Stegostoma tigrinum: one gene and its partner. The protein of the gene in region 2 interacts with the protein of the main gene of each other region in a pairwise test. Links are inferred from orthologs where the notes say so. Each region holds a gene or a part of one and is shown on either strand. Other genes may lie near its edges.

Region 1 (16,740 bases), on a different chromosome or scaffold from region 2:
TACTGTATTCACTGTTCACAAATATAGCCTCCTCGACATCAGGAAAATGGAGTGTAAACTGGATGACCGCTTCACAGAACATTCATGTTCTATCTGCACAGAGGATACTGAGCTTCCAGTTGTCTGCCACTTTAACATGCCACCCTGTCCCCTGCTGCACTGTTCCAGCGGAGCTCAGTGCAAGTTGCAAGAACACCACCTAATTTTCTGCTTGGGGACTCTGCAGCCCTCCAGACTCGATAAATCGAGTTCAATAATTTTAGGGCCTAAAATCTTCCACGTCCTAGCCCCTCCACCCCACACACTAGGCCTTGTTATCAGCGTGTAATGGCAGGCTAGCTATTGTTAGTCACTAACAGTCCCCATTACCAGCTATTCATCCTCCTAGCCAGATCATTCTGCACTCCTTTGTCACTCCAACTGCTCTTCTCTTTAGGGTCTGTCTTTTATCCCCGCCCCCATTACTCCCTACCCGATCCTCTGCATTTAAACCATCGTATTCCTAACTACAAGTTCTGAGGAAGGGTCACCAGACCCAAAATGTTAACTAATTTTTCTTCTTTCACAGATGCTGCCAGACCTGCTAAGCTTTTCCAGCAATTTCTGTTTTTGTTCCCAATTTACAACATCTGCAGTTCTGTCAGTTTTTAAGCCCTCAATTAACATTAGCAGATGCAATGTAAATATAAGTTCACACTGGGATAAACACTGCTCCACTACACTGTAAGATATATCAAGGGATGCATCACAAGAAGGTCATCATAAACAAATCTAAAAAAAAAGGAAGGAGAGATTCTTTAATGCCCGAGATTCTACATTTTACATCTCAAAACATTAGTTTCTACGGCTATTTATGTAATTAAAATATGCATGACTTCATCTACCATTTTCTTCCCCACATGCTTGGGAGATCAACTTGTCTTGAAGCATGCTTTCTTGTCACCCAACCTACAGTTCCCACCTAAGTGTGCATTTTTACTATGAATCTAGATTCAGCGATTTATAGGTACCTTTTCCAAGGAGCTAATCATTCTCAACATTGATTTCAGCTTTACTTTGCATTCACACAACATCATGTCTCCAGAGTGTGTCACTGCTGGAGTCAAAAACATTAAAAACAAGCATTCCTCCCACTCCAATCAAATTCAGGTGAAGGAAAGATGTCTAATCCCTAGGGCTAGCAACTGAATGGCAAGGAATCATTCAGCTTGTATAATTTCTAATGTTATTTATTGTTAGAGGCCTTATTTCAGAGAACACATTGAATAGAGCATAGTAGATCCAGCTTCTTGCTCATGCCTTTGGCAGGATACAATTTAATGGACAGAAAATTACAGGCTGTACATACAATTTTCTAGCATGACAAGGCTCTGGCCAAAGTGCATAAGAGGAAGATTTACACAGTGTTCAACTTGACCATTTGACAACACTTAAAGTAAATCAAGATTATTTTGGCTCAGGATGAGAACAAGTAATGAAATTGGGCAAGTGTTTTACTGAGTTTCTATGCAGTTGCATCCGTATTAAGAAACGATAACTAATTTTTCAAAAGCATAATAACCAATTGTTAAAGAAATTTGAGATAACAGCATGTTGAAAACTGTAAAAAAAAGGTAGTTGTGGATTTTGTTTTTATTATTCATACTAGCATCTGAGCATTTTCCACCAATTCTTAAAAAAAGTGTCATTTTCCAATTACTAATTTTAACTTTAGCACATTTTTAAAAATCAATTCTGCCAGGTAGCAATAAACAAATTTCATGGCAGGAAGTGGGTGTGATGGTAGTACACACTTAATATTCACACCACTTTAGATTTAAAAAAACAGATTAAAACACATCTACATGGTGTAGAAAAGATGACTGTGTGAAAACATCAGTGGTAGTTCAAATGAATATAGGTAAGCATTTTAAAAAAAAAGCTATGTTTACTTCACTCTTAAAGAGAGTACAGTGTGCAATAGTATCAGAGATAATGGGAACTGCAGATGCTGGACAATTCCAAGATAATAAAATGGGAGGCTGGATGAACACAGCAGGCCAAGCAGCATCTCAGGAGCACAAAAGCTGACGTTTCAGGCCTAGGCCCTTCATCAGAGAGGGTCTCTGATGAAGGGTCTAGGCCCGAAACGTCAGCTTTTGTGCTCCTGAGATGCTGCTTGGCCTGCTGTGTTCATCCAGCCTCCCATTTTATTATTACAGTGTACAATAGTGCTGGTTCAATCAAAACTAGTTGTTTAATGTAGAAGGGAGTATTTGTATTCCTAAACCACACTTTCCATCTTCAAGCCCCCCCAAAACATATTATAGCCAATTAACTACTTTTTGACTTCTTGTTATTTTGTAGGAAAATACAGCAGCCAGTTTTCACTTTAATTTCCACAAGGAACACTGGCAAGTGACCAACAAATTTGTTTTAGTAGTTGAGAGAAGCTAGGACAATCGTGCTCTTCAAATACAAATGGTGTTTTGTTTTTAAACCTGACGTCCACTGGTTCTTGGTTTTATGTTTCATTTGAAACACCGTCCCACCAACAATGTAGCACTTCCTCCATGTCAGTGTTGGACTGCATTAGCTGCTCAAATCCTGAAACAGGACATCAGCTTGCAGCCTTCAGACTGAAGAGCTGGAAATGGTACAACTGAACCAATATTACAAAAGGCAGGAGACTTACAGAATGGATAAATCCAAGTGTATTTCCTTGTTTGTGTTGAGTAAATGACCTTGAACAGGATATGGTTACAGAAGTGGTATACACATTGAAGGTCAGTGGAGAGACATAATAGGTGAAGCATTCTGCTGGTAAGAGCTGTAGACTTTCTAGAAGACACTGGCTGGATGTCAGCAAGGGTGTTGTGTGCATCTGGGCATCATAGATCGGGAAGGATGTGAATACATTGGAAAGAGGGTATAAAAAGTGTTAACCAGAATAGTTCCAAGAAAAAGAAATTTCAGTTATAATATACTTTGGAGAAGCTGAGGCTGTTTTCCTTTGAAAGAGGCTAAGAGGAAGTTTTAGAGTAGTGTTCAAAATCGAGGTGTTTGGACAAAAAGGCAGGGAGACAGAAATTCTTTCTTATGAAAACGGACCAAAGACTGAGGGAGCAAGATTAAAATTAACTTACGCAAATGTGTTCTGAGGGGAAAAACCCACTTTCCACACTGCAAATAGTTGGGAATGCAATGCCTAGCATGGAGGCAGCTTCAAACAAAACTCTCAAATTACATTATTATTTGAGTCGAAACAACATGCGTTAGGAGAGAAAAAACCATGGCACTCAGTCATAATTCTCATTAGGAAAGCCAGCACAGACAGACAAGCTAAACAGCCTTCACCTCCACCATTGCAATTCTATAATTCCATAATCAATTCCATAGTTTAGAGGCAAAGAATATCAAGTCTTATTCCTGATCACTTTAGTGAAACACTAAAAATGCACCCAAGGCTAAGAATGACACAAAGCAAAGTTCTGAAGAGTCACTGGCCCAACAACTCAGTGATATTGCTCCCACAAGTTCATAAAACTGGAGAATGACGACATAAGAGAACTGATGGTATTAATTGTAACAAAATAATTTCGAACATTAGTTGCTACAGTAACAAATTCACTGGATTAGTCTCTAAAGTTTTGTTACAATAGGTGTTGGAATTCAAATAAACAAGTTCTAGCCATTAAATTCACTGGCATACACAAAATATTTTCTAATCAACCTATTTGGATATTAATACACATTCTGGAGCAGGTGGGACTTGAACACAGGATGCCTGTTCCAGAGGTAGGGACACTATCATTTGTACTTCTACTGACTAGCACATCACTTATTTAGCATACCAACTACCTCAATAATAGATGCCAATAAAATCTTGCTTTATTCATATTCAGACAATTTCAGAAGGGGGATGTTTAGCACAATTCATGACTTCAGTTATTAAAATTAGCCTCTGTCTACATACAGCAAGATATAGACAACATCCAGGCTTGAGCTGATTAGTTGCATTTAACAGTCCATCTCCCCTTAAACTTACAACAATGCTCAGGTCCCCACTAACATTCATGGGACTACCATTGACCAGAGACTGAACTGGACCAGCTGTATACATGCTAAGGCTACAACAGCAGATCAGAGGCTAGGGATTCTGCACCAAGTAACTTACTCCCCAATTCCCCCAAAGCCTGGAGCACCATCTGCAAAAGGCAGAAGTCAGGAGGGAGGTAGAAAACTTTCCATTTGCCTCCACAAGTGTAGCGCCAACACAAACTTGCCTCAGCCCAGGCAAAACTGCCTCCTTGATTGGCACCGTAGCCACAAAGATTCTGTTCCTCCACCATTAGGGTAGAGTGGAAACCAAGTTTATCACCTTCAAGATGCACTGAGGTAACTCACCAAGGCTTGATCAACAGAACCTTCCAGACCCACAAACTCTACCACCTTGGAGGGCAAAGCCAGTGGATGCACAAAAACACTGCCAGCTGGGAGTTCAATCCAAGTCTTACAGCATCCTGACTTTGAACCATATCCCCCTTCCTTCATAGTCATTGGATCATTATCCTGGAGCTCCGTTGCTAACAGCACAGAGAGTGTACCTGCCCACATGGGCTAGAGTCATTCAAGAAAGTGACTCACCACCACCTTCAAGAGCAACTGGGAATGGGCAATATTCGCTGTCCTTGCGAATAATACCTATATCCTGTGAACAAAAGAAAGACATTTCAAACCTTGGATCATTTAATAGAGATTTTGATTTGGCAAAATGATAAAGAATTACAGGCAGGATTTTTTTTAATGCTTATTTTCCTTCTCCCAAAAAGTATCCATATGCCAAAGTGGCATGATGACCCCAATGGTCCTTAACTGGTGCATTCAGCATTAACAAGACTATTAAAAAGAAGATAGGCTTTCGAAATTGTTTTAGCTGGAGCATTCCGTGGTTCCATGTTTATTTTAAACCAACTGAATTCATAACATGGAGTTAATGAGGGCAAACTGTAAAAGCAAGAGGATTATATAGCTCTGTTTACCAGTCACAAACAGAAGGTTATACAAAAGTAACAGGCTCTGCTGGGCTGGATATAACCAAGCATATGGTTTAAATAGCTGACTATTTATATGCAGAACACATAACATTCCCCCTACCCATAACATTAAACACAGCATGCAGATTTAATGGAACCAATGGTTAGGCAACCTTTGAGTAACAATTTCAGTAGTGCAGTTTAAATAATCTTCCCACCCTTAAATGTTACTGGAAGTGGTATTAATTTAGCACCTTGCTCACATTGGTGCAGTTCTGTTTACATTGCATTTGCAGTAATCTACGCAGTTACAGTTACTCCGCTCAGATGGTCATGATTTAGGAAAGTAGCATTTCAGGATACTTTGTTGGCTGTGGACAAATAAAATGTTCAAAACTGCACAGTATACATCGGTATAGGGTAATCCTTATACTGTGCTCAGAGTTAGTTCAGTTAGTTGTTATTGCTGACCTCAAATTTTATAAACCTCTATAAAAGGGATATAGATCAGGCAAATAGGAAAAGGTCTTTTCCCTCGTGTAGGGGAGATCAAAACTAGAAGACATAGGTTTAAAGGAGAGAGGGGAAAGATTTAAAGGGACCTGAAAGGAAACTTCTTCCACACAGAGGTGGTGCATGCATGGAATAAACTACCAGAGGAAGTGTACAGACAGGTACAGTCACAACATTTAAAAGACATTTGGACAGGTAGACGAATAGGAAAGGTTGAGGGAATATAGGCCAAATGCAAGAAAATGGGACTAGTTTAGTTTGGGAAACCTGGTCGGCATGGACAAGTTGGGCTGAAGGGTCTGTTAATGTACTGCCTGATTCTATACATCTAGAATGATTAAATTATCCTAGTACTATAAAACTAGAATCGCTGTTTTAAACTAAATTTCAATAAGATCAAACATTGCTTCAAAAAGCTGAAGAGGTGCCTTTAATACCCATCTACTCAAATCTTTCTGCTCCATCAGGGTATTTTCCAACTTGTTAAAGCAGCACTCCCAATTCCCAACTTTGCTTCATTACTGAACCTATTTCAAAGCTTCAGGACAGAATTCTGCTTTTCAATAATTTATCGAGCCAGGGCAATGCTGAAAAGTACAGGAAGGAAGAGGAAATTCTATTCATCTCCAGCATTAATCCATGTGTCATTCAGATTAAAGAAAGCCATTTTTCCACTTGTACTGTAGTAACTAATAATAGCTGCTGTACTAGCAGCAAAATAGCTGGAAAGAACTAAACACTGACATCTGTACAACAGATTCCTAATGGTGCTAATTTATCAGAAAGTGGTGTTTATGTTTCAACAGCTGTCTTACGCACAGATGCAGGTCCATCTCTGAATCAGATATGGAGATATCTGGGTGAATACAGCACACATTGACTTACAGGTTTGCAACAGGATTGTGTGAAATATTTCAAAACACTACATCTCGAGCATGTATTTCAATAATTATAGCTTTTCAAATGCGATCCATACTAGTCACCATTCCCCAACAAAACTTCACTAAAGACTTAGTTCAGTATTGCAGAGTTGATGGTAGCATGTCTTTGAATTTGAAGCATCAGCTTATGGTTTCAAACTCGAGCCCAAGACTTGGGCACATAGCCCAATGCATGCTGCAAGTGTGCTGCATTGCCAGTGTTGATAAATTTCTCACAATGACTTTTTTTGGTCAACACACCTAAAAGCACTGTCATTATCTTGAATTATTGTTCCAAATATCAAAAGAAAAATGCTACTAATCATTTACATTATTCACAGGTCACAAAACTTTGCAAAGTATATTAATTAGATCAAGAAGAAATAAGAATTAGGAAAATACACACATGTATCCTTGAGTTCATTAAAACTGTTAATAATATAAATTTTAATTGCAGAAAGGAACTAGTCTTTCCAGTGTAATAGACAAAAATAAGTATAAAATATTCCAAGTTCTGAAAAAAGTCACATGAGACTTGACATGATTTTTCTCTCCATAGATGCTGCCAGACCTGCTGGGATCCTCCAACACGCTCTGGTATTATTTTAGATTGCCAGCACCATAGAATTTTGCTTTTATGAAAGTATTCACATTGACACCTTTCTTGCCAGTTTGAATAGGACAACATTGCACTCAGAACAAGCCAAGAGCTACCCTACTCCCACGGTCTCACAGAAGATGAGCATTAAACAATTTAATACTCCAATCAAAGTCACTAAGCCACCGTAGCTTTTCACTTGAAATTCTCACTGGCAGAAAGGCACTAGTTTAGATACTTACGCAATAATGAAACTCTTCACTGCTTTGTGCCTTGAACAATCGTAGAAACTCGGTCAAAGCAGATAGCTAACAGCACACCAAAACACACATACACACACAAAACAGGTTACACCACGTGAACCGTATCCAATATATATGCAGCCAGAAAGTCTATCATAAATCAAGCAATCTGTAATTTCACGCACACTGTGCACGCGGGAGGATTAGACCAAACCATTCCCCCAGGAACATTTTATGATGTTCGGAGTCTGATTGCACACGACTTTCACATCTGTAACGCACCCTTCACCCTCACACCCCTCCAATACATGCCTTTGAGATTGAACCACTACAGTACAGTGCACATCAACCCAAAATGACCCATAAAAGTGAACGGACATCATGAGTTAGTTATGAACAAGAATTGGAGTGAAGGGGGCAGTTTATAACCTCTCTGATAAAGTCGTCCAGGGCATTCTTAAAATTCCGTCCAGGGCCCTTCGAGAAACTGGGAAATTTGGATCGCAATATGGGCTATTACGTCACAGCCCGAGGAGGAGTCGGTCAGTTTCAACCCGGTTTAAAAAGCAGCTTTTTAAAATAGATAATCGGAATAATCATTAGCTATCGGAGCAATCCAAGGCGGATAGGGCCAGTGATTAACTGGAGTGCAAAAGATATTCACAAATAGTGAAACTGACAGTTTTGGTCAGTTACACACATTGTCACGTTGCAACCGCAAGAAACATGTTGCTGTGTCTCCATTTGTAACCGCGCGTCGTGTCTTTTACGTCGAATTCATTACTCAGCTTTCAGCTTCAAATACAGACAAACATAAAAGTGGAATTACTTCAGGCCCAGGAACATCCGACCAATCGGAAAGAGACACACAGACATTTGTAACAAAAGATCCCAAATGTAACACTATCCCCAAAGTTGTTCTATGCCGAGCAACTTTATCGACTTTCGAACAGCTAAAGCTAGCTCGTAAACTCGGATGGCAAATAAACCTACTTTTGTGTTTGCTACTTCCCCAACTTTGCTTTGCGATGCTGGGACTTCTTATGATCGCTCGTCCCGCCGACTTTAACGCATCCATTATTTATAAACTACTCTCCACGGAAGGGAGGGAAAAATGCAGAAATATTTTACTGGAACCCTCAAGTCAGCCTCCTCTTCTCCTTCAGACACCTCCCATAAACTTTCCAACCCCCTCAATGGAGTTTCAGGGAGGTGACATTTATATGAAACACTACCGCCCACTCATGACGCAGCACGTCCCTGACATTGCGTTCGCCGGTCACTTGTTGAAAGTCGGCTCCTTCAGGACAGCGCGGAAATTCAGAACTGTCAGATCCAACAGGATGTAAACTAATGCGTTGAGGTCATCACACGGGTTGGTCACGGTTGATAATTCATCGGTAGGTCCGAGCCCCTAAAGCGAAAGCGCTCAGTTTTAAAAAAAAAACAGATAAGTTGACTGCATTATAACACAGCGTAGAGCTGGATGAACACAGCACTCCAGGCAGCATCAGGGGAGCCGGAAAGCTGACGTTTCGAGTCGGGACCCTTCTTCAGAGAAAGACTCATGAAATTCTGATGAAGGGTGTAAACCTGAAGCGTCAGATTTCCAGTTCCTCTGCTGCTGCCTGGCCTGCTGTGTTCATCCAGTTCTACGCTGTGTAATCTCTGATTCCAGCATCGGCAGTTCCTACTAACTGTGAGATAACTTGACTGCAGTTGTTGTCAAATTATGTAGAGTCAGTAGGTAAGGTGGAACATCAACGGAAATTGCTAGAAAGACTCAGCAGGTCTGGCAACAACTGTGTACTGAAGCGTCCTGGAGAAGGGTCACTGGACCCAGAACATTAACTCTTCTTTCTGAGTTAACCTTTGAGTCCAGTGATCCTTCTTCAGAACTGCCCTCTCCACAGATGCTGCCAGATCTGCTGAGTCTTTCTAACCATTTCTGTTCTTGTTTCTGATTTCCAGTATCCACAGTTCTTTAGGGTTCTTATAGGTTTAGTCGATAAGCTGGGTTGTGCTAAGTTTGTTAAAATTTCATGATATCCTTCTAAACCTTAACCTCTCTGACTGCTCTGAAGAAGGGTCACTGGACTCAAAACATTAACCCTGTCTTCTTCCCGCACACACTGCCTAACCAGCTGAGTTTCAACAGCAACTTCTGTTTTTGTTTCTCTCTAATAAGCCCTCATACACACATAGCCAACCTGACCCACTCTCTCAATTTCCACTGAAGGGTCACGGTGGGGAAGCACTGTCCTGGAGGCATTTCAGCATGTGACAGCTTTGGTTGCCATTTTCCTTTTTTTGGCACAAAATAAGTGTCACAGATGTTGCAAATTGTGACTAGCCTATAAAATTATTGCTTAGTAGCTCCCCTGATGTTGCAATAGCTAAGTACACTACATGACTACAGATTGTGTTATTCTCATTGATACCATCAGGGCAAGTAGGTTGAAACATTAACTTTCATATTTTCTCAACAGATATAGCCAGACCTGCGCAATGTTTTTGCATTGAAATTCACCTCAGTTTAAGGAGGTCTAGGGTTCGTGCTCGAATTGATGTGCATTGGCTTATTGTTGAAAATATATATGTATAGATACTCAATCTGTGGCCTGTGATCACCAATCCAGGGTTTTTCCTCTGGTCCAAATAAGGAGGTGTGAAATTGCATGCTGGTGAATGTAGAAGCAGAAACACCATTTCTGGTAAGGGAGGAACCATGGTGCATGGTGATGCAATCACTAGAGAATTGCCAATCAGGTTTGGGGTTGGTGGGGGAGAGGGGGGAGGTGGAAATTGCTTCAATAAGTGCATCAGCCCCCAGTGATCACACAGATGCACACACCCTATTCATTCGTATCTACTTGCAGCATTAAACTATGGTGGGAGAAAACTGAATATAAAATAGACTCAGAGAAGTGGGAGAAATTGCTCCTAAACTACATTAGTTGTTATATCCTGCAACATAAGTAGTGGTATACACATGGCCAAAAATAGGATGATGCCAATTTTTACTATTATCCAGGCATTTTCACCATGTAGACATTTGCCATAGCTCACCTGAAATCTCAATGCACTACATACATACAAAATGCTGCACTCAAATTTTACGAGAGATCATTTTCACTGCAGATTCCAATTCAAGATTTGAAATTTCAGACAAGATTCTGATAAATAGAAATCTGCTCAATAATTAGAGAAATTATCAACTCATTGTATAAATTTCCTTTTTAAATCATATTGAACAATGACAATTGGAACTTGCTGTTGTCCACACAATAGCCTTCAAGGGTCTAGGCCCGAAACGTCAGCTTTTGTGCTCCTGAGATGCTGCTTGGCCTGCTGTGTTCATCCAGCCTCTCATTTTATTATCTTGGAATTCTCCAGCATCTGCAGTTCCCATTATCTCTGATACTATATTTTGAGTATCAAAGTTTTAATTTAACTTCTTTCATGGTATGTGGTTCTGGCCCGACTGGGCCAGCATTTATTGCTTGTCCCCAGTTGCCCTTGAGGAGGTGACAGTGAGTTGCCTTTTTGAACCCTATGATCCATTTGGTATAGGTAGATTATTTTGAACATTTAGGAATCAGAAGACATAATAAACAACATTAAAGTGAGCATATATCTTTTTTTCCAAGAAGCAAGATCCAGTCATATGAGGTACAATTCATTATCTGACTAAAAATGGAATACGTACATGAAGAAATAGCTGCCTATTATAACTGATACCTTCCACAGCTGAAATTAAATGCACAAAGTTAAGAGTATTAGTATATTATTTTGATTTTCTTGGCAAGGGGAAAGTATTGGATCTTCCAATTCCACCACCACCATCAGTACCCAGTTTTGATTTAGAATATCAATCAACATAAAGATGCTATTGAATTGTATCCTCTTCACAATTGTCTCCACCTAATCAAATTGTGGCCAGAGTTTGTGAGGCTGTTTCACCTCTACCCAACCATTAGAGAAAATAAAACGTCTCTGTGCTAAGCCACTGATGACATTTTACTGAAATTAACTTGAAACTACCTCACCCCAACTCCATTCCCACCTTCTCAACTGAAAACTGAAACAACTGCAGATGCTGTAAATCAGGAACAAAAGCAGAAGTTGCTGGAAAAGCTCAGCATTTCCAGCAGTGTCAGTAAAGAAAAAAAATCACAGTCGTACAGAACTGTTCTGAGGAGGGGTCACCAGACCCAAAATGTTAACACTGATTTTTTTCCTCACTGACACTGCCAAACCTGCTGAGCTTTTCCAGCAACCTCCGCTTTTGTTCCCATCTTCTCAACTTTCAGTTGGATACTGAAATCCTCAATTTGTGAGAAATCACTCAATCACAGACTGCAAAACTTGTTTCTAGTTATATCCTTTAAAAGTATTTCTTTTTAAGTTGCGTCACCATTCTGAATAACTGCACACGTTTGCTGCTGTGACTTTTGCAAATGGAACTTAATGTATTTGCCTGCTTACCCTAGACAAGAATTTTAATATCTTTAGATTTGACAACTATTTTTATAATAATGAATGCTTTCCATTGCTTTCCAATTACCAATGGCAAAGCAGAATAATTTTTAAAGTGTATTTGAACTTTCAGCACATTTGAGACAATTGTTACCCATTTTGTTTGCAACAAAGTACAGCAATACTGCGCTAGATTCCATGCAAAACTAATTACAGTTCCTGTTATATTAATCTAGAATTGTGTTCACACACATACATTAAAGGAAATGGCTGGTAATATTTTTAATGATGTAACATGTGTTTTCGTTTTGCAATGTGATAAACATGTATGTGATATTGTGATAACATTGCAAACGGAACAACTTCACAATATTTGTATAAACATATACATGAACCACCTCTGATTTTCCAGTTGTATCTAGACATGCTATTAAACTATTAACATCATCTTTTAGGAAGCTTTATTCTGAAAACTCTTCTTAGCTCAAATATATTTTGACCCCTTTTCAATAACAATCTTACTCATATCTTCGTCAACAAATTGGATGTTTCCGAACAACTTTGGTGTAGCTAACGATAAAGTCACATGAGTTGCATCAGGGAGTCAGGTTGTTGTTAGAATCAAAGAATGATAGAATCCCTGCAGTGTGGAAGCAGGCCATTCAGCCCTTCAAGACCATACTAACTCTCTGAATCCCTTCTAGACCCACCCCATCCCTACAATCCTGCATTTCCCATGGCTAATTCGCCTAGCCTGCACATCCCTGAACACTGTGGGCAATTTAGCATGGCCAATTCACCAAACCTGCAAATCTTTGGACTGTGGGCGGAAACTGAAGCAACCGGAGGAAACTAACGCAGATAGAACATAGAACATAGAACAGTACAGCACAGAACAGGGCCTTCAGCCCACAATGTTGTGCCGACCATTGATCCTCATGTATGCACCCTCAAATTTCTGTGACCATATGCATGTCCAGCAGTCTCTTAAATGACCCCAATGACCTTGCTTCCACAACTGCTGCTGGCAACTCATTGCATGCTCTCACAACTCTCTGTGTAAAAAACCCGCCTCTGACATCCCCTTTATACTTTCCTCCAACCAGCTTAAAACTATGACCCCTCGTACTAGCCATTTCTGCCCTGGGAAATAGTCTCTGGCTATCAACTCTATCTATGCCTCTCATTATCTTGTATACCTCAATTAGGTCCCCTCTCCTCCTCCTTTTCTCCAATGAAAAGAGACCGAGCTCAGTCAACCTCTCTTCATAACATAAGCCCTCCAGTCCGGGCAGCATCCTGGTAAACCTCCTCTGAACCCTCTCCAAAGCATACACATCTTTCCTATAATAGGGCGACCAGAACTGGATGCAGTATTCCAAGTGCGGTCTAACCAAAGTTTTATAGAGCTGCAACAAGATCTCACGACTCTTAAACTCAATCCCCCTGTTAATGAAAGCCAAAACACCATATGCTTTCTTAACAACCCTGTCCACTTGGGTGGCCATTTTCAGGGATCTATGTATCTGCACACCAAGATCCCTCTGTTCCTCCACACTGCCAAGAATCCTATCCTTAATCCTGTACTCAGCTTTCAAATTCGATCTCCCAAAATGCATCACCACGCATTTATCCAGGTTGAACTCCATCTGCCACCTCTCAGCCCATCTCTGCATCCTGTCAATGTCCCGCTGCAGCCTACAACAGCCCTCTACACTGTCAACGACACCTCCGACCTTTGTGTCGTCTGCAAACTTGCTGACCCATCCTTCAATCCCCTCATCCAAGTCATTAAGATACAGGGAGAAAATGAAAACTCTGGACAGACGGTCTCTCAAGGATGGAATCAAACCCAGATCCCTGGTGCTGTGAGGCTGCAGCACTAATCACCGAGCTACCATCTCACCCAACCAGCAATGCCCTGTATGATTACCAGGTTTACAGTTAACTGCTACAGATTATGAAGAAACATTACCTGAAGCAACAAGAATTTTGCAAACTAATTTTATTTGAAGAATTACACCTTAATTTTAAATTGCTTTTGCAGTACAATGTTGATGGGCTGGTCAAATACATAGAAGTATGACAAATTTAGTTTAATCCTGAAAAGTTTGAGGTGGTTCATTTGGGAAGACTAACAAGGCATGGTGGCACACAATGTATGGTAAGATCCTAAGAATTACAGAGCATCAGAGTGGTGTACATGTCCCTAGAACCTTGGTGGCAACAGTAGATTAGATCACTTATAAGGTATATAGATTACTTTCCTTTATTAATCAAGGAATTGAATATGAGAGCAAGGAGGTTATGGTGGAGCTGTATATAACATTAATTAGGCCACAGCTGGAATACTGTTCATATTCTGATCACCACACTATAGAAAGAATGTGACTGCACTTAGATACAGTGCAAAGGGTATTCATCAGGATGTCACCTGAATGAAAGAGTTTCAGCCATGAAGAGAGAGCAGATCAGCTGGGGTTGTTTTCCTGAGAACAGAAAAAGCTGAGAGAGGACCTGACTGAGGTGTATAAAATTAAGGAGCATTGATAGAAAGAAACTTTTCCCCTTAGTAGAGGGATCGGTCACAAGGGGACATAGATTAAGGTAAGGGGCAGGGGCTTTCAGGGAGATTTTGGCAGGAAGGTTTTCACCCAGAGGCTTGTAGCTAACTGGATCTCACTGCCTGAAAGGATGGTAGCGGTGGAACCTTCAGAGCATTATAAAGTATTTAGATGGGCGCTTGAAACACCATAGCAAACAACGTTACAGGAAAACAGGCCAAGAGCTGGAAAATAGGATTTGATTAGTAGGTGCTTAATGGTTGGTGTGGACACGATGGTCTGAAGAGCTCCTTTCCCTGCTGAAAACCTTACGCCTCACAAATCAAAGCTCTATGATGTCTATGTTTTAGAATTATATATTTAACTTGATGATTTACATTGCTATTGAGGGCTTATTATGTCTATAATATTTAGAAATTATGACTTCTAGAAATGTTGAATTAGAAAAGACTATATGCAATAATGTTAGTTTATGGCTCAGTTGATAAACATTTAGATCTAAAAAAATGGCCTTTATCACTCCCTTTTCATGCAGTTACATGTAGTTTCAATTACAGCTAAAAATATGATTATAGATCCAACCTCGGAAAGGTAAAATCTAGAAGTGTAACTATTGAATGAACAGTTTTGACAAAATGTAATGTTAAAAATAAAACCTGTCTGAGTGCTTTCTCTGGAGCTATTGTGGAAGGTCCACTGCACAATGTAGGCATTGGAAAGCCACATTACTAGTTTCTAAAAGCAGTCAAGCAAACACTGTCTGCTGTTGCTAGGTTTTTTTAAAATATTTTGATAGACCAACATTAGCGATCCTGATGCTTAGATTTCTGCACAGTCAGCTGCACCCAGTAAGTGAATTTGCTGGGATTCATTCGTGTGAGGAGCTGGGAAAGCCCAGTATCAAACTGCCTCACCAGACAGTGGCAGTTACACATTCAGTTCCAATTCCCATTATCAAAACAATTACCATTGCCATTACATTGCCATAGGACAGTATAGAAGAAGCACTCCAGATGACGCCAAGATTTGATTCTCAAATCTCCATGAGACAGCTACACTATTACAACACAGTGATGCTGGTTATGGCAGGTCAGCTACTTGTCACCATTTGGATAGAATGTGATTCTACCTTTGGTACTTTACTTTGAACTTGCTAATCAAATGTATTAACATAGTTTAGGTGGCACCTTTTTCTTTTTCATTGCTGGTTTTCACTATGTCTGTCACCATTATCCTGTTAAGGTATTACATTTCTGAACATGTAAAAGTAGAGAAAGTGAGTGTTTTAGTCTGCGTTATGATTATAATGTTAGAAAAATAAAACTCGGGTTTCGTAACAAATGTTGGCCTTGTCAGGAATGCCCAAATCTCATGAAAGAGTGAAGGAAATACATTTTTTATTTAAAACTGGACAAAAAAACATTGCTGAAAAAACAAGATTAGCAGGTCACAGCTTGTACACTGAGGTAGCATTTGGCACTGATTCAGCAAGCTCTGCCTTGTACTTGAAAGAACTTTGAAAGCTGTTTGTGTAACAACCTCAAAATTTCTGTAACCTTGCAAGGAAAGATTGATTTAGACATTGTGTGCAACATCTGTTGTAGAGGTCTGAAACTAGCTTTTGGCTCACATGGGTAAGCCTCCAAGTCTTTCCTGGAACTAAACATTGCCTAATGGTGGGCTTGTTTTATGCCAAGGCTGACTCAGAGAGTAGAATTCCCTGTTAGTACATGGTTTTTTTTAGCCATCTGTGTTTTGCACAGAGCACCAGCATTTTGGGAGTGGTAGCTACATATCAATATTTTAATTGGATTTTGCTGGTGACATCAGCATCCTGGGCTCTGTCAGACCCAGAATACCCTGGACACATATGAAAAGTTGCAAAACATGAGGATCTGAGGACTGATGTTGGGGTTGGAGCTGAGCCTTGCACTAGTCTTGCCTGAGAATTTGTCGTCACAATGTCAGTGCAAAAGCAAAAAGCTGTAGATATTGGAAATCCAGAATAAATGCCGACAAAAGCTGGAAATACTCAGCAGGTTGGGAAGAATGTGTGGAGAAAGAAACAGAATTAACATTTCAAGTCTGTGGCCTTCCATCAGGGCAGATCAACCTCAAACATTGACGTCTTTCTCCCTCTAGAGATTCTGAAGGGCCTGTTGAGTGTTTCCAGTTTTTTTTAATTTAATGTGCTCATTGAAAAGCTGTCCATTTATGATTAAATTTCAGGGAGTATTAGAAATGCACTTTAGGAGCCAGAATGAGAGACAATGTAAACATAGAGCACATGTGAATAGGTAAAGGAAACAATATAATTGTGTATGAATTTAATGCTGCCACAGAGGATGTTTCGTGGATGGTATGTCCACATGGGGTTGCCTGCTGCATCCCAGAGGAAGGGATTGTCAG
Region 2 (16,366 bases):
GAAAATGTTCAGATCATAAAGCAATTACCAAAGAAGGTCAACTGGCTTTACCGTAGTTTGTTTACCCAGCATGATGCTGTCACCTACAATTCTAATAGTAAACTGACTTTTTTGCCCCCAGATTCCAAGATTTCCATTTCCACTAATTTTCCCAGAAGCCCTTTGCCAGTGCAATTTGCTCTGTGAATTACAGTGTCAGATTTACCTTCTACCGGTATGAACCCATGACCCTTGCTTCACTCATTGTTCAATGCAAAAGACGACTCCAGATTTACTTCTCCCATTGACACGACAATCTTCTTTATTTCAAACAGGTTTGCTCTCAGGTATTTCCTTTCTAAGTCAAAAAGGCTAATTTTTGCCAATCTTGAGTAATGACACAACCTCCACACTGGAACGCAGCATTTCGTTCTCCCCTACCTTTCCTCCAATGCATCCCTTGCTTTCTGGCAAACAAAGCTCTGCTTGTTTGGAAATTGTCAGCTTCTGAAATGTAAAATGTGTGCTTGATATGTATCTTAACAGTTTGGATTTTAAACTAGTGGCATATCGGTTTTGGCCTGAGTCTACGAAACTGGTTTAAATGTTAGCATTTCTGCAGATTTTTTAAAACCTACATGACAGAGACAATTCCTGGGAATGCAAATGGGAATTTATTTGCATTGGCAAAGGTTTATGAACAGACAGAGTAAGCATGGAATACCATTAGCCCTCTTTGAGCTAAAGGATTAATTGGGTCATAGCATTCCTTCATACGTATTAGATGTTAAACCTTTTCTGCAGCTATTACAACATCATTGAAGTACATGTCATTCATTCATCCTAGCCATGTGCCATTCTTAAAAGCATTAAATTGTGTTATTATGCCCTTGAACACACTTTGCCTAAAGTATATTGTAATTACAAAACTGCCTCCTTCAAATCTACCGCCTCTCACAATGTAGTGCACTAACCCCTGCATCCCACTATCCGTAAGTTACAAATTGGAAAAATAAACAGAAACACTAAAAATGAACTGACTTGATGCTCAATTTTAAAATGAACCAGCCCATGGAAATCTATTACTAGTCAACTTAGGTACAGATCCAACTGATTGCACATCTAAACCAGGCTAGATTGAACCCTATTTAAGAGATGAATATTTTAAAATGTATAATACAAACTAGGAGCAAAGTAAGCTATATGGCCTCTTGAACCTGATCCACTGCCATTTAACAAGATTATGGCTGCTCTGTTTGCATTCCCAAAAACATTTGATTTTCCTGCCTGACAAGACTTAACCCCCTGCCCAAAAAATATTTAGTAGTGCTTCCCCCACAATGCCTTCTGAAGCAGATTATCTATATTTCTCATGATTTTGTAAACTCCTATCAAGTCACCCCTCAACCTTCTACACTCCAATGACAAAAATCCCAGCCTATCCAGCCTTTCCTCATAACTCAAACCTTCCATACAAACAACTAACAGCTGTCCCATGGAAACCTAGCTCTATATATTTTACCCAATCCAAAAGAAAGAGAAAGAACACATAGCCCTTGTTAAACTTACCCAGTGGCTAAATGGATAGGTAAGGAACAGGTCAGACCAGTGCATTATGGCTTGCGGAATAAAAATTGTTAACTTGATAATAAAAAAAAACTATTTAGATAACTGCAGTATCATTTAGGTTTTTTGTTCTCATTTCAGGCACTGTCATTAACAACTTAACCACAGTTACCAAATTTCTTAACCACATTCTATTTATAGTAGGAAGTAAACAAACTATTGCTAGCTATGACATAATTTTAAAAAAACAATGAAACTAAAATAAAATATCTAAAATAAAACTATATACTATAAAGTGAACGAACAAACGATTGTCATTATGAGTTATAGAAATGATAATATTTCATGTATTAAGGACAATATTCTTGATTAAAATATCAGAGAAAATCAAGTCCTATTGATTTTCTATTTCAAATAACAACACCTTCCCTTCAGATAATAACTTCAACATAATAAAACAGCCCAAAGTGTGGCCAGAAGCATAATCGAATAAAATTTGACACGCAGAGATATTACAACAGATGATCAGAAGTTTGATTAAAGGCATAGCATTTGAGGAGTATTTCAGAAAGAGATATAGGAGAAATGGCATCTGCAGTTCCCATTATCTCTGACAGAATAGGAGAAATGGTACAGTTTAGGGAGGGAAATTTCAAAGATTCAAGTCCAGGGCAGCTGAAAGCCCACATATTAATGGTGCTGCAATTAACTCAGGGAATGTGCAAGGAACTGAAATTGAAGAAACAGAGATTTTGGATGGAGTGAAGAACTGGATGCCAGGGAGGGACAAGGCCTTGTAAAAGCACCTGCACAGTCCACTGAGGCTTGTAGGTTCCGAATTTTGCCAGAAGTAGGAGACTCAGCACATCAGTATGGTGCAGTAAAGCTCACATTTCTGAAATGTTCATAGGGCTGGAATACATAGGGCAGGAATACATAGGGCAATTACCTAGGGACACTTGCAATGTCACAGTCAGCTGTCAGAACTCTCAGCTATCCCGTTTACTACTTCCAGTCGACTGAAATTGCAGGATAACACTCTCTGGAAGGACACATACAATATTCCCAATATCTGCTGACCATAATCAGGGTTTCCCACCACAGACCACACTTAGAAAACTACCCCACAGCCATTACTTCTCTCTTTGGTAGTTGCTAATTTTCTTAAGGTCCAAACGTTTCCAGCTTTAGGGTGGGAGGAAAAAAAACAATTCGAGTATGCGCATTACAATGTTTCACATTGGAACACACTTCCTTGGGTTTCATATTCAAGTGGCTATCATTTCTGCATGATCCAAGACACTAATTTTAGGGAAGTCGTTTACCCATCAGTTGTAGAACTCCTGCCTCTGCACTGGTAGACTGTGTGGTCATACCCCAGTCTATAGAACGGAGCACAAAATCCAGGCTGATGTTCCTGCAGGGGTGTGGCACCATCAGGAATCCTGTCCTTCAGATCAGCCATTAAACTGAGGAACCATCTACCCTCTACCCAAGTGGACTTAAAAGATTCTGCAGCACCATTTCAGTAAGATTGGTAGAGCTTTCCCCAGTGCCCTTGCCAATATTAAACACTCAAACATCATCACTTAAACCATTACCTGGTTATATTGCCAGATTTTTCTGTGGAGAAAATAGCCATCATGTTTCCAACCTGATAATGATGACTACACTTCAAAAGGAGCTCAACCAATTGGACTTGGAAAGGACATTTCCTTTCGTGGAGCACTACGGATCACTGTTCAAAAATAAAGGGCTATCGATTTAATACTGAAGTGCGGTGCATTTTTCGCTGAGGATTTTTGGAACCCTATTCCAAGGTAAAGGTAATGGAAGCAGAGATTTTGACTATTTTTAAAAGGCAGAGCAGCCAGGACTTTTTGCTCCATTCTGTAGATTGTTAGCAAGTAAAGGGGCAAAGGGTTATTGGCAGTGGACAGGAACCTGGAGTTGCAGTTACAATTACAATCACAATCAGATTTTACTGAACGGTGGAGCAGGCTCAAAGGGGTAAATACAGTCATAGAATCGTACAGTACAGAAACAGATGCTTTGATCCAACTTGTCCATGCTGACCAGATATCCCAAAATTAATCTAGTCCCATGTACCAGCATTTGGCCATATCCCTCTAAACCCTTCCTATTCATGTAGCCAAAATGTCTTAAATGTTGTTATCGTACCAGCCTCCACCATTTCCTCTGGCAGCTCATTCCAGACACATGCCACCCTCTGCATGAAAATGTTGCCTCAAGTCCCTTTTAAAGCTTTCCCCACTCACCTTAAACCTATGCCCTCTAGTTTTTATTTGCCCCTACCCTGGGGAAAAAGATGTTGGCTATTCACCCTATCCAAGCCCATCAGGATTTTATAAGGTCACCCCTCAACCTCAAACTCCAGGGAAAGTAGTCCCAGGCTACTCGGCCTCTCCCCACAGCTCAAACCCTCCAATCCTGGCAACATCGTTGTTAATCTTTCCGGCACTCTTTCAAGTTCAACGTCTTTCCTACAGCTGGAAGACCAGAATTGAACACAGTAATCCAAAATGGCCTGGCCAAAGTCCTGTACAGCCGCAACATGACATCCCAACATCTGTACTCAATGCACTGGCAAATGATGGCAAGCGTACCAAACATCATCTTTACTGCCCAGAACCATTTGTTTATTAAAGGAAGTCCATCGGTTGTGAAGAATTGAGACATCTTGAGTTTGTGAAAGCTTCAAAGAAATTGCAACTCCTTTTCTCCCCACCCCCCCCCCGACTGGTGGGGAAAATGGGTGGTACCTGAGCTAAGATTGCTCATGTCTGCCCTCTACATCAATCACTGGTGGAGGTCACTAACTGAATCACAAGAATGAAAATTGGCCCAATATTCCCCTTTCCTTACTCTGGAAACTGTTGATGCCCCCACACACCATGGTTCAAAAAGGCATCTCACCACTTCCTTCTCCAGGGCAAATCGGGCATGGCAATACATGCCAGTGATGCTCATAACCCGTGAATGACTGAAACGAAACACTGGCTCCTCAGGCTAAGGAAGACGGATTATTACCATTACCTTAGTCAAAAATAGCTAACTCAGCACGCATTTGGGATAAAGTCTAGAATCTTCTTCCTTTCTAACTCAATATCAAACCATGTAGCCCGTTAGGCATCCACTGGGGAGCCACAAGTTTTTTTTTGTGTGCTTTCTGATTATTTGTCCTATTCATCATTATAATAGTAACACTCCATCTTCAGTTTGGAATTCAACACACTCACTCAGTCTAGACTCGATATATCCATTCCAGGCTTACTTGCAGTTCCTTCTATGTTATAGAAGTTTCTAGATTCTGCAGAATGCGAGACTATCCATTTCTGCATTACTAACAGTGTGACAGCCTGCATTGTTCCAGATTCTACTGGGTTAAATATATTCCTTGGAGGTTTCTCATCTACTGGACTGAAGGCCTACATTTCTTTTTACAGGGTAAACCTATGAGGAGCCCAAGTGAAGGCCCACACCCCCTCCAGTCTCTCTCAGCCTGGAATCTATCCAACATGGCTCCCCGTGTTTTAGACATCCCCCCCACCCCCAACTGAATCCACCCTCCTCGTTTGTCCTAACTACCACATTAAGAAGCACTGAAAAGGTGCCAAGATCTTTGCAGAAATCTGCAGAGCGAAAAAAAATGACTATTGTTCCCACTGCAGCTTGGCCCATACATTCACAGCACAGAGCTCAAATCACATGGAGATGGACCCCTCAAACAACAAAAAACACATTTAAGTCGCCAATGTAAACATAAATGCAGACGCTACAAAGTGTCTAGGTGGAGAGCAACAACACAGAAGGATCAATTCGCTCGCATCAGATTGACAAGGGAATCCAAAATGGCAACATTTATTCTGTGCTAGCCTCTGCACAACAAACAAGTGTTTCAATTCAGCGTTACTTTACTCAGCTGAACTTTCATTCTTCGGCGCTTATATTTTCTGTTTGGTTAAATCAGGGGAGACGAGAAATAAAATCCCTTTCATTAAATTAATCGACGATTAGCGACTGATAGCGACCCGCCCGAAGCACGGGCCGTTTTGAGGCAGGTCAGAAATGCGGTAACTAAGAAACATGTTACATGAACATAGACACATTCAGGGAGAGAACGGCTATTTAATTCAATATTTAGTTCTAAAAGTTACTGCTGTTTACAGTAATCAAACAAACCATGTTGAAAAATAGATGTATGATTAAATTAACGCACTTGGGTTGAAGCAATCGACGCTGCAAACGGGGGGAACTGGAAAATTGGGGGAACTGGAAAATTGGGGGAACTGGAAAATTGGGGGAACTGGAAAATTGGGGGAACTGGAACAATTAAAAAGATGAAAAACTGAGAAACTGAAGGACATATAAAAATTGATTCAGTTCAAAACATAAAGGGTCTGATTAACCTGAGGGACTGAAATGTGAGGGTTCTGTAAAATGAAGTGTTTTCTGAACGTGAGGGGCTTCAGGCGCTGACACATTTGAGAGATAGAAGACAACGATCAATCTGAGGCAGTGATAAATGTAAAGTGGGTAGGGGGGGGTTGTTTCGTTTGTCTGCACTCACCTCCTCTGCCTGCTTTCGGAGGGATTTCTCCCTCTCGTACTGAGTCAGAAGCTGCTCGTTGTCCTCCCGGAGTAGCTCCAGCTCCACTTCGTGTTCCTGGTTCTCGGTGAACACCGAGTCTAAGTTCTCCAGCACGTTCACGACCAGCGGCATCAGCTCCTTCACCACCTCCTCGTCATATTTGTGGATGAGCCTCTCGAATTCCCGGTAGATGCTGTTGGCGAGGCCGGAGACCCGCTCGGACATGACGGACACCGAGCAGTCATCCTGATAGACCACGCCATCGTCCAGCTCCATCATCCTGGCCGCCGGCAGAAGGATACAGCCCCGGCAGTGAGCTCACGGAATGAGAGGGGAGGTGCGGGCTGAGCCGCTCTCACTGCATCCCCGCTCCGCCGCCGCTGGGGTTGGGGTTAGGTCTGGAGCCTTCCTTCCTTCCCCTCTCTCTCTCTGCAGACAATAGCGAGCGGACAGTCCGGTCCCTCCCTCACCCTTAATCCTCAAAAAAATATCCACCTCCTCCGCCCCCACAACACAAGCAGCTCCGAACGCTGTCATCTGACGTCAGGGCAGGCTGTCTGCATTGTGGGAGATCGCAGCTTCCCAGTGCAGCCAGCAAACTGCAATCAGGCAGCCTCCCAGTGCAGCCAGCAAACTGCAATCAGGCAGCTTCCCAGTGCAGCCTCCCAGTGCAGCCAGCAAACTGCAATCAGGCAGCCTCCCAGTGCAGCCAGCAAACTGCAATCAGGCAGCCTCCCAGTGCAGCCGGCAAACTGCAATCAGGCAGCTTTCCAGTGTAGCCTCCCAGTGCAGCCAGCGAACTGCAATCAGGCAGCTTCCCAGTGCAGCTGCCCAGTGCAGCCAGCGAACTGCAATCAGGCAGCTTCCCAGTGCAGCCTCCCAGTGCAGCCAGCAAACTGCAATCAGGCAGCTTCCCAGTGCAGCCAGCGAACTGCAATCAGGCAGCTTCCCAGTGCAGCCTCCCAGTGCAGCCAGCAAACTGCAATCAGGCAGCTTCCCAGTGCAGCCAGCAAACTGCAATCAGGCAGCCTCCAACTGCAACCACCAGCACAATCCACAAAATCCACTTTATTTGTAGATGTAGGCATTACTGGTAAGGCTGGTGTTGGTTACCCTAATTGCCATGAACAGATTGGTTCTCCAGGTCATTTTATGGGGCAGTTAGAAGTTGACCACATTGCTGTGGGGTTGAAGTCACATGTAGTCTAGATCAGATAAAGCCAGCAGCCTTCCTCCCTAAAAGACACTAGTGAAGTAGATGTGTTTTTACAGCAATCAATAATGATTATCAGTAGACCTTCTTTTAATTCCAAATTGAGTTGTCTTACCATCTGCTACAGTGGGATAATGAATTTCTCCCCCTCCCCCAGAATATACATTTCTGGATTGCTAGACCAGTGATATTCCCACTACATCACTGCCTTCCCGGAGAGATAAAACAGTACTTTGCTAAGCATGAAGAGATCAGATCTAAGAGAATAGTAAATACATGACAAAGATGGGATCAAAGGAAGGAAAGGTATCGGACAGAGCTGGAGTAGAGGAAAGACCCAGAGGGGCAACCAGATTCCTCTGTGACTAACCACCCTTCATTTCAATTTCATTACCTCTCCAGTGAATCTAGTCAACCTTCCCCATCCCCAGTCAATCCCTAAGAAACATATCAATTTACCTGGAATTTAACATGAGGAGGCTCGTCTGGAACATTCCAACTTGTCTGCAATGACCAGACATCCCAATCTGACCTAGTGCCATTTGCCAATACTTGGCCCATATCCCTCTAAAGACTTTCTTTTCGTGTACCCATCCAGATGTTCTTTAAGTGCCTGCACCACTTCCTCTGGCTCGTTCCACACACACACCACCCCGTGTGTGAAAAAAGTTACCCCTCAGGTCCTTTCTAAATCTTTCCCCTCTCACTTTAAACCTCTACCCACTAGTTTTGGGGTCCCCTATCCGGGTAAAAAGACCTTGGCTATTCACGTCCCTCGTGATTTTACAAACCTCTATAAAGTCATTCCTGAGCCTCTGACGCTCCAGGGGAAAATAGCCCCAACCTATTCAGCCTCTCCCTATAGCTCAAACCCTCCAAGCCTGACTGTGTCATCAGTTAAAAGCAGGAGGTACCATCAGTGTCCCACTTGTTAGTATCTACGCTGGTGCCTGGAATTGAGGAGGAATGTGCCACAGATAGTGAGTTTTTGAGTGGGTGGAAGCAGAACAACTTGTTCCTTATTAACCCAATCATCATGCACCGGGAATAAATTTCTTTCCATCTGCTGCTTCTCATCTCCAGCATCCTCTGCCCTGGTGGTTAAGGTAAAATCACCACACATTCCTACTTTTTTAATTAGGCAAGAGACAACTCATGGTGAGTTTGACATGAGGATCACCTCACCTCTGGCAAGGGGCAATGCTGAGATCTTTATGGGTAACATTAGCCAGTGCAGGAGTATAAACCTCCATTGTTAGGGTCACTCTGTATCATAAACCAGCTGTCCAGCCAACCGAGCTAACCGACTGCCAATGATGGCAGGAAAGGAAAGAAGCAGCTCAGACAAGGTAAGTAATGAACAGAAAAAGGCTGGAGGCTTTTGTTTGTGGGGTTTCACAGGGATTCAGGGGTGACACTATCCTGTCAGCAGCAGGATAACACAAACCACATCTCACATTAAAAGCCTAATGTCTCCTCTGTGAGGGGATCAAAGGTGGGAGTGAAAGGATATTAGAATTGGGCACAAGCATTCCAGTCAGTTAGGATTGGAAGTTAGAGTCCTAAAATCTGAATTTAGGAGTCAGATATTGACCATGAAACCATTGTCAATTGTCAGAAAAACCCACCTGATTCACGAATATCCTTCAGGAAACTGCCATCCTTACCAGGTGTTGACTACATGTGACTCCAGACCCACAGCAATGTGGCTGACTCTGGCCTAGACATCGACATCCTCATCGCGTGAACAAGTATTAAAAAACCTGTGACAGAGCCCTCATAACCAGACTGCATGTCAGGAGGGAGGTGTAAAAGTGTTACTTTAAAAGGATGTCAATCACATTCGGGCTATTGTGCTCAGTGCCGGGCATCTTTATTCAAATAAAGATGTTAAAGCCCTGGACAGCATGCAAAGGAGATTTACTAGAATAATACCAGGAATGAGGGCTTTTAGACACAAGGAAAGATTAGAGAAATTGCACTTATTTTCCTTGGAGCAGAGAAGATTAAGAGTTGACCTTATTGGGGTGTTTAAAATATTGGAACGATTTTGACAGGGTAAAGAAGGATATTCAGTTTCTATAAGTTGGTATGTATGGATATTCAGTTTCTATAAGTTGGTAACAGTGGGTTACAATTTCAAGATTGTCTGCAAGACAGCTAGGAGTGAGATGTGGAAAAAATTCTTTACTCAGAGAGTTGCTAGTATTTGGAATCCACTGCCTGGGAGAGTAGTGGCGACAGACCTCATATGAGGCCAGCCAATCAGGGATAGTGGAGGGAACTTGTATACAGAGGTAGGGGAGGTCCTTAATGAATACTTTGCTTCAGTATTCACCTGTGAGAGGGACCTTGTTGTTTGTGAGGACAGCATGAAACAGGCAGATATGCTCAAACATGTTGATGTTAGGAAGGAGGATGTGCTAGAAATGTTGAAAAACATGAAGATAGCTAAGTACCCTGGGCCAGACGGGATATACCCAAGGTTTTATGGGAAGTGAGGGAAGTGATTGCTGCCCCTTTAGCAATGATCTTTGCATCCTCACTATCCACTGGAGTAGTACTAGATGATTGGAGGGTGGCAAACGTCATTCCCTTGTTCAAGAAAGGAAATAGGGATAATCCTAGGAATTACAGGCTGGTCGGTCCTACTTCTGTGGTGGGCAAATTATTGGAGAGGATTCTGAGAGACAGTATTTATGATTATTTAGAAAAGCACAGTTTGATTAGAAATAGTTGGCATGGCTTTGTGAGGGGCAGGTCATGCCGCACAAGCCTTATTGAATTCTTTGAGGATGTGACAAACACATTGATGAAGGCAGAGCATTAGGTGTGGTGTATATGGATTTTAGCATGGCATTTGATAAGGTTGCCAATGGTAGGCTTATTCAGAAAGTAAGGAGACATGGGATTCAGGGAAATTTGGCTGTCTGGATACAGAATTGGCTGTCTAATAGAAGACAGAGGGTGGTAGTAGATGGAAAGTATTCAGCCTGGAGCTCAGTGACCAGTGGTGTTCTGCAGGGATCTGTTCTGGGACCTCTGCTCTTTGGTATCTTTATAAATGACTTGGATGAGGGGGTGGAAGGGTGGCTTAGTAAATTTGCCAATGACGTGAACGTTGGGGGGGAGTTGTAGGTTGCAACAGGACATTAACAGGATGCAGAGCTGGGCAAAGAAGTGGCAGATAGAATTCAACCCAGAAAAGTGTGAAGTGATTCATTTTGAAAGGTTGAATTTGAATGCAGAATAAAACATAGTAAAATACAACATATACTGTTTCCTGACACTAACCATCATGGAGACTCAAATCTGAAGAAATTACCCCTTTATGTCAAATCTTCAAGTTTGGTATGGAGGTGTTGGTGTTGGACTGGGATGGACAAGGTCAGAAGTCACACAACACCAGGTTATAGTCCAACAGATTTATTTGAAATCACAAGCTTTCGTACCACCGCTCCTTCATCAGGTTAAACTATATCCTGGTGTTGTGTGAATTCTGACCTTTAAGTTTGACTTACCTGTTTCTCCGTAACACCATCCTGTGAACTGTGAAGTCTTTTTAAATGAATACTCTCAAAGCTGGAAGCTTAGGCTTTCTCAGCTTTTAATACCTGACAGATTTCTAATCAAACACTCCTGGTTTGGAAGTTTCACAGCCAAACATTTATACTGCTTTCCTTGAATTGTCTCATACTTATTACTTGAGAGATACTGCATCTGGTTTTGACCCCAATTGTCTCCTCCAAACTGCTTAAAATTTACAACCTCTGGGTTTTCTAGCATAACATCAACCTTTGATTATTTTGAACAAAAAGCAAATTAATGGCATTCAATGATTATACTCCCTGTCATAAACCAACACAGTAAAAAACAGTTTCCATTAACACTACAGGAGCTTCATACTTTCCAACACATACTGCATTAGGTTACCTGTTTTAGAAGGATTGTCTGACATAGCTGCTTTTAAAATCCTTTAGAGAAGTAAACCAGTAATTCACAGTCTTAAAAGTACATATATACATATATAAACCAAACACTTCTTACCACATTGGATTGTAAAGTTATAAATCACACGATATTGAAGCATTGTCAAATTATCTCTGAAAGCTGTGCATTATTCAAAAGTTAGACTAGTCAGAGTCATATTTCTGTGACAGTTACCAATTTATTTGTAATAATTCACCTTGGAAAAGAAGGAATTATTAGAAAAATTACAGATTGTCTGTCAAAAAATATCTTATATCATGAAGTTGACTTTTTTTAAATGAAGGATCTATCTTTAGATCGATGAAAACCTAGATGACAACATATACCTAGACTATTAAAAAATCTTTTGATTAAATGCCAGACATAATTTGCTAAGAATAGGATTATGGAATTAAGGAATAATTTTATAGGATTGGCAGATCTATATTGAGTTGGGCGTGGAATGGTTTACGTTTCCATAATTGTGGGTAATTATTAATAGTAGCAGCTGCCTTATGCTGCATGAGATACATAAAAGACAAGCAACCATCTCCAATAGCTGTGCTCTGTCTAGCAACAAAGCAAGCAGAATGCTGAGCAAAATTACTGTGTCTTTAAAATCTGAAATCAACATTATGAAGCAGTATAGTGCTCTGAGCTGACCTCACCTTCATTGAATAACATAGTACAGAATAGGCCCATTGGCCCATCTAGTTTTGTACTGCCAAAAGTACACTCCTATCTATACTAATACCATTTTCCCACACTAGGCCCATAGCCTTGAATGTTATGACAATCTTAAGCACTGTGATCAATCTAGACCACTGACCACAAGACGTAAGCCACAGCAAGTATTATAGGAAAGGGCCATAAGGATGGTCCCGAGTGTTAGGAGAAACCTAACCTAGGCTCTGAAAAGGATACAAATGAAAGGCAACTTTGTAGACATTGTTAAGATAGCAAGTAAAATGGAGAAAATTCATCTGCAGCCTTTTTTTCAAATTAAATAACGATTTAAGATGAAAGCCCCTAGATGTAAATTAATTCAGAACTGATGTTTGGTCTCATTATCTCTTTCAGGATCTTCAATCTGAGTAACAAGGACAAAAACTACTCAGGAGACTGTTAAATACTATGATGGTGGAATTACAGATTTTCAAGGAAGAATGAGCATATGACCCTTCTGCAATTACATCTGTGGTCATAATCCTCTTTAAATGCTCCATATTTCAACTGCACCAAATTGCTCTTTGCCTGTATAGTTTCAGAGAAATACAAGCCATATTTCTCAAACTGCTGTATTAGGTATTAGAAGTAGAAGCTATAATTGAAGTTTGAGATTAATTATCCTTCATCTCACCCTGATCATTCAAGACTAATATGATTGAAGGACAGAATGTTAACTAGAATCTGTATCCTTTAAAATCTATATCCAAATTTTGAGGGTATTACCAGATGTATAACTTTAATGTTCATTATAATAGAATTGTATTCAGTTTGCCATTTGTGTTGTTGTTATACCATGTTGCAATGCTCAATTCATTTGTTGCTTTCTGTCATGTCAGTAATAAGAACCATTATTTGGCAGAATTGTCACCTAGAGTACCTATTGTTAATTAAAACTAAGTAATGGTCTCTGGTTTTGGAGTGCCATGGACAGGACCAATGTCATCTACAAGATCACCTGCAGAGACTGTGAGAAAGACAGGAAACTAACAACAACAGTAAGTGAACACCAATGGCTACAAAAAGACATTACCGATACTCGCTCGTCTCTATCTACAAGGATTGGGACAACACCAAAATCCTGGGACAAGCTAAGCAGAGATAGGCACGGGAATTCCTAGAAGCATGGCACTTCATGAAGCGTGCACATTGAAACACATTGAACGCGACCCCATCTACACTCCACTACGAAGGAGAAGTGGAAGTGAGGCAATGCATCGCAACAGACCCCAGAGTTTAAAAGCCAGGCAGGAAAACACACCGACAATTCATCGGAGACTGCACTGAGGATGTTACCCAGCATGGTAACGAAACATCGGTGAAACAATAAACCAGCTCAGCAGTGCACAAGCCGGAAGAACCCCTTACGCCCACAGTCACCGTACCAGGCACTCCATCACACAGATTAGCCAAGGAAATAGAAAGGAGACTCAAGCACCTAGTCAACAAGTCACCCGACTCTATCCACTCAGCCCAAGAATTCCTCAACTCCATCAAAGACAGATAGATGACAAAGAGGCCATGATATCGTTTGATGTCACTGCCCTATTCACATCGATAGGCATACTACTAGCAAGGGAAACAATAGCAACACTACTGGAACAAGAGCAAGACTCCAGTGAAACCATCGCCACAGACATGTTCAAACTACTGGACCTGTGCTTCACCACGCACTTCACTTTCAACAGCCAAATATGCGAGCAAATCAACAGGACACCAACGGGATCAACTATCTCTGGACTCATAGCTGAGGCAGTGGTGGAAAGACTAGAAGGGATGGCCCTTCTGCTAATCCAACCAAAACTATGTATACGCTACGTGAACGACACCTTTGTCATCATCAAACGGACCAAACTAGAGGAGACACACAAACTTATAAACAACACCCTCACCGGAATAAAATTCACCGGGGAGAAGGACTAGAACAAACAGCTCCCATTCTTGGACGTCATGGGAGAGTGTAAGACAAATGGGCAACTTCAAACACAAGTACACCATAAAGCCACACACACGGACCAGGTACTGAACCTCAACAGTAACCATCCCAGCACACACAAACAAAGCTGCATGCAAACTCTATTTAAAAGGGCACCAACACAGAGCTATGCCAAGAGAAAGAAGAATACCTCTTCCAGGTTTTCAAGGATAATGGGTATCCAAAAAACTGGGTCAGAAAATGCCTACACGAACAACATCAGGAAGATACTACGTGCCCCAACGTACTCATCACACTACCCTACATCAGGAACACATCGGAACTAACATGACTCCTACGACCGCTGGGCAATACAGTGGCATACAAACCCACATCAACCTTACGACAACTGCTCACCCGAACTAAAGACCCACTCCCCACCATGGATAGGGCCAATGTCATCTACACGATCCCCTACAGAGACTGCGAGAAACACTACCTCGGACAAACAGGAAGGAAACTAACCACAAGGGTACATGAACACCCACTGGCTACAAAAATACACAACCAATACTCACTCATCTCAATCTGCATAGACAAGGAGGACCACCAATTTGACTGGGACAACACCAAAATCCTGGGACAAGCTAAGCAGAGACAGGCATGGGAATTCCTAGATGCATGGCACTCCTCGAAGCATAGAACATAGAACAATACAGCGCAGAACAGGCCCTTCGGCCCTCGATGTTGCGCCGACCTGTGAACTAATCTAAGCCCCTCCCCCTACACTATACCATCACTATCCATATGCTTATCCAAGGACGGTTTAAATGCCCCTAATGTGGCTGAGTTAACTACATTGGCAGGCAGGGCGTTCCATGCCCTTACCACTCTCTGAGTAAAGAACCTGCCTCTGACATCTGTCTTAAATCTGTCACCCCTCAATTTGTAGCCAAGCCCCCTCGTACAAGCTGAAGTCATCATCCTCAGAAAAAGACTCTCACTGTCCACCCTATCTAATCCTCTGATCGTTTTGTATCTTTCTATTAAATCCCCTCTTAGCCTCCTTCTCTCCAATGAGAACAGACCCAAGTCCCTCAGCCTTTCTTCATAGGGCCTGCGTTCCAGACCCAGCAACATCCTGGTAAATCTGTTTTGAGTCTTCTGTGGGAATCGGTGGGCTTGAAGTGGAAATATCCTCTGCACCTTTTCCAATGTTTCCACATCCTTCCTGTAATGGGGCAACCAGAACGGCACGCAATATTCCAAATGAGGCCGCACTAGCGTTTTGTACAGTTGCAGCATGACATCACGGCTCCGGAACTCAATCCCTCTACCAATAAAACCTAACACAGCGTAAGCCTTCTTAAGAGCACTGTCAACCTGGGTGGCAACTTTCAAGGATCTATGTACATGGATACCAAGATCTCTCTGCACATCCACACTGCCAAAAATCTTTCCACTGACCCGGTATTCTGTCTTCCTATTATTCCTCCCAAAGTGAATCACCTCACATTGATCTGTATTAAACTCCACTGGCCACCTTTCAGCCCAATTCTGCAGTTTATCCAAGTCTCCCTGCAACCTGCAACATTCTTCCACATTGTCCACCACTCCACCAACTTTAGTGTCATCTGCAAACTTACTAACCCATCCACCCGTGCCTGCGTCCAAGTCATTTATAAAAATGACAAACAGCAGTGGTCCCAAAACAGATCCTTGAGGCACACCACTAGTGACGACTCCAGGCTGAATATTTTCCATCAACCACCACTCGTTGCCTTCTTACAGAAAGCCAGTTTCTAATCCAAACTGCTAATTTCCCTCAATCCCATGCCTCTGTATTTTCTCAAATAACCGACCATGAGGAACCTTATCAAAGGCTTTACTGAAGTCCATGTACACCACGTCAACTGCCCTACCCTTATCCACATGCTTGGTCACTTTCTCAAAAAACTCTACGAGGTTTGTGAGACACAACCTGCCCTTGACGAACCCATGCTGACTATCTCCAATCAAATTGTTGCTTGCTAGATGATTATAAATCCTATCTCTTATAATCATTTCCAAAACTTTTCCTACAACAGACGTAAGGCTTACAGGTCTATAATAACCTGGGTCATCCCTACTGCCCTTCTTGAACAAGGGCACAACATTTGCAATCCTCCAGTCCTCTGGTACTAAACCTGTAGACAATGAGGACTCAAAGATCAAGGCCAAAGGCTCTGCCACCTCCTCCCTAGCATACCAGACAATCCTCGGAAAAATCCCATCTGGCCCAGGGGATTTACCTACCTTCACACCTTCTAGAATTGATAACACCCTCCTCCTTACTAACCTTAATCCTTTCAATTCTAGTAGCCTGTAACTCAGTCATCTCCTCTAC

The links.
Region 1: the proteins of mapk8ip3 (region 2) and ldlrap1b interact in binary tests that used the Homo sapiens proteins (3 or more experiments, as listed by UniProt). The two-hybrid records come from large-scale screens. The link is inferred for Stegostoma tigrinum from reciprocal best matches to the Homo sapiens genes MAPK8IP3 and LDLRAP1.

What each region holds. Positions count from the first base shown.
Region 1 is NC_081377.1:25,459,999-25,476,738, reverse strand, and holds the start of ldlrap1b (low density lipoprotein receptor adapter protein 1b), read right to left. Parts: upstream 8,617-16,740; 5' UTR 8,367-8,616; coding exon 8,282-8,366; intron 7,787-8,281; exon of another isoform or gene 7,718-7,786; intron 1-7,717. UniProt on the Homo sapiens protein: Adapter protein (clathrin-associated sorting protein (CLASP)) required for efficient endocytosis of the LDL receptor (LDLR) in polarized cells such as hepatocytes and lymphocytes, but not in non-polarized cells (fibroblasts).
Region 2 is NC_081376.1:48,617,891-48,634,256, forward strand, and holds the start of mapk8ip3 (C-Jun-amino-terminal kinase-interacting protein 3), read right to left. Parts: upstream 6,790-16,366; 5' UTR 6,437-6,789; coding exon 6,137-6,436; intron 1-6,136.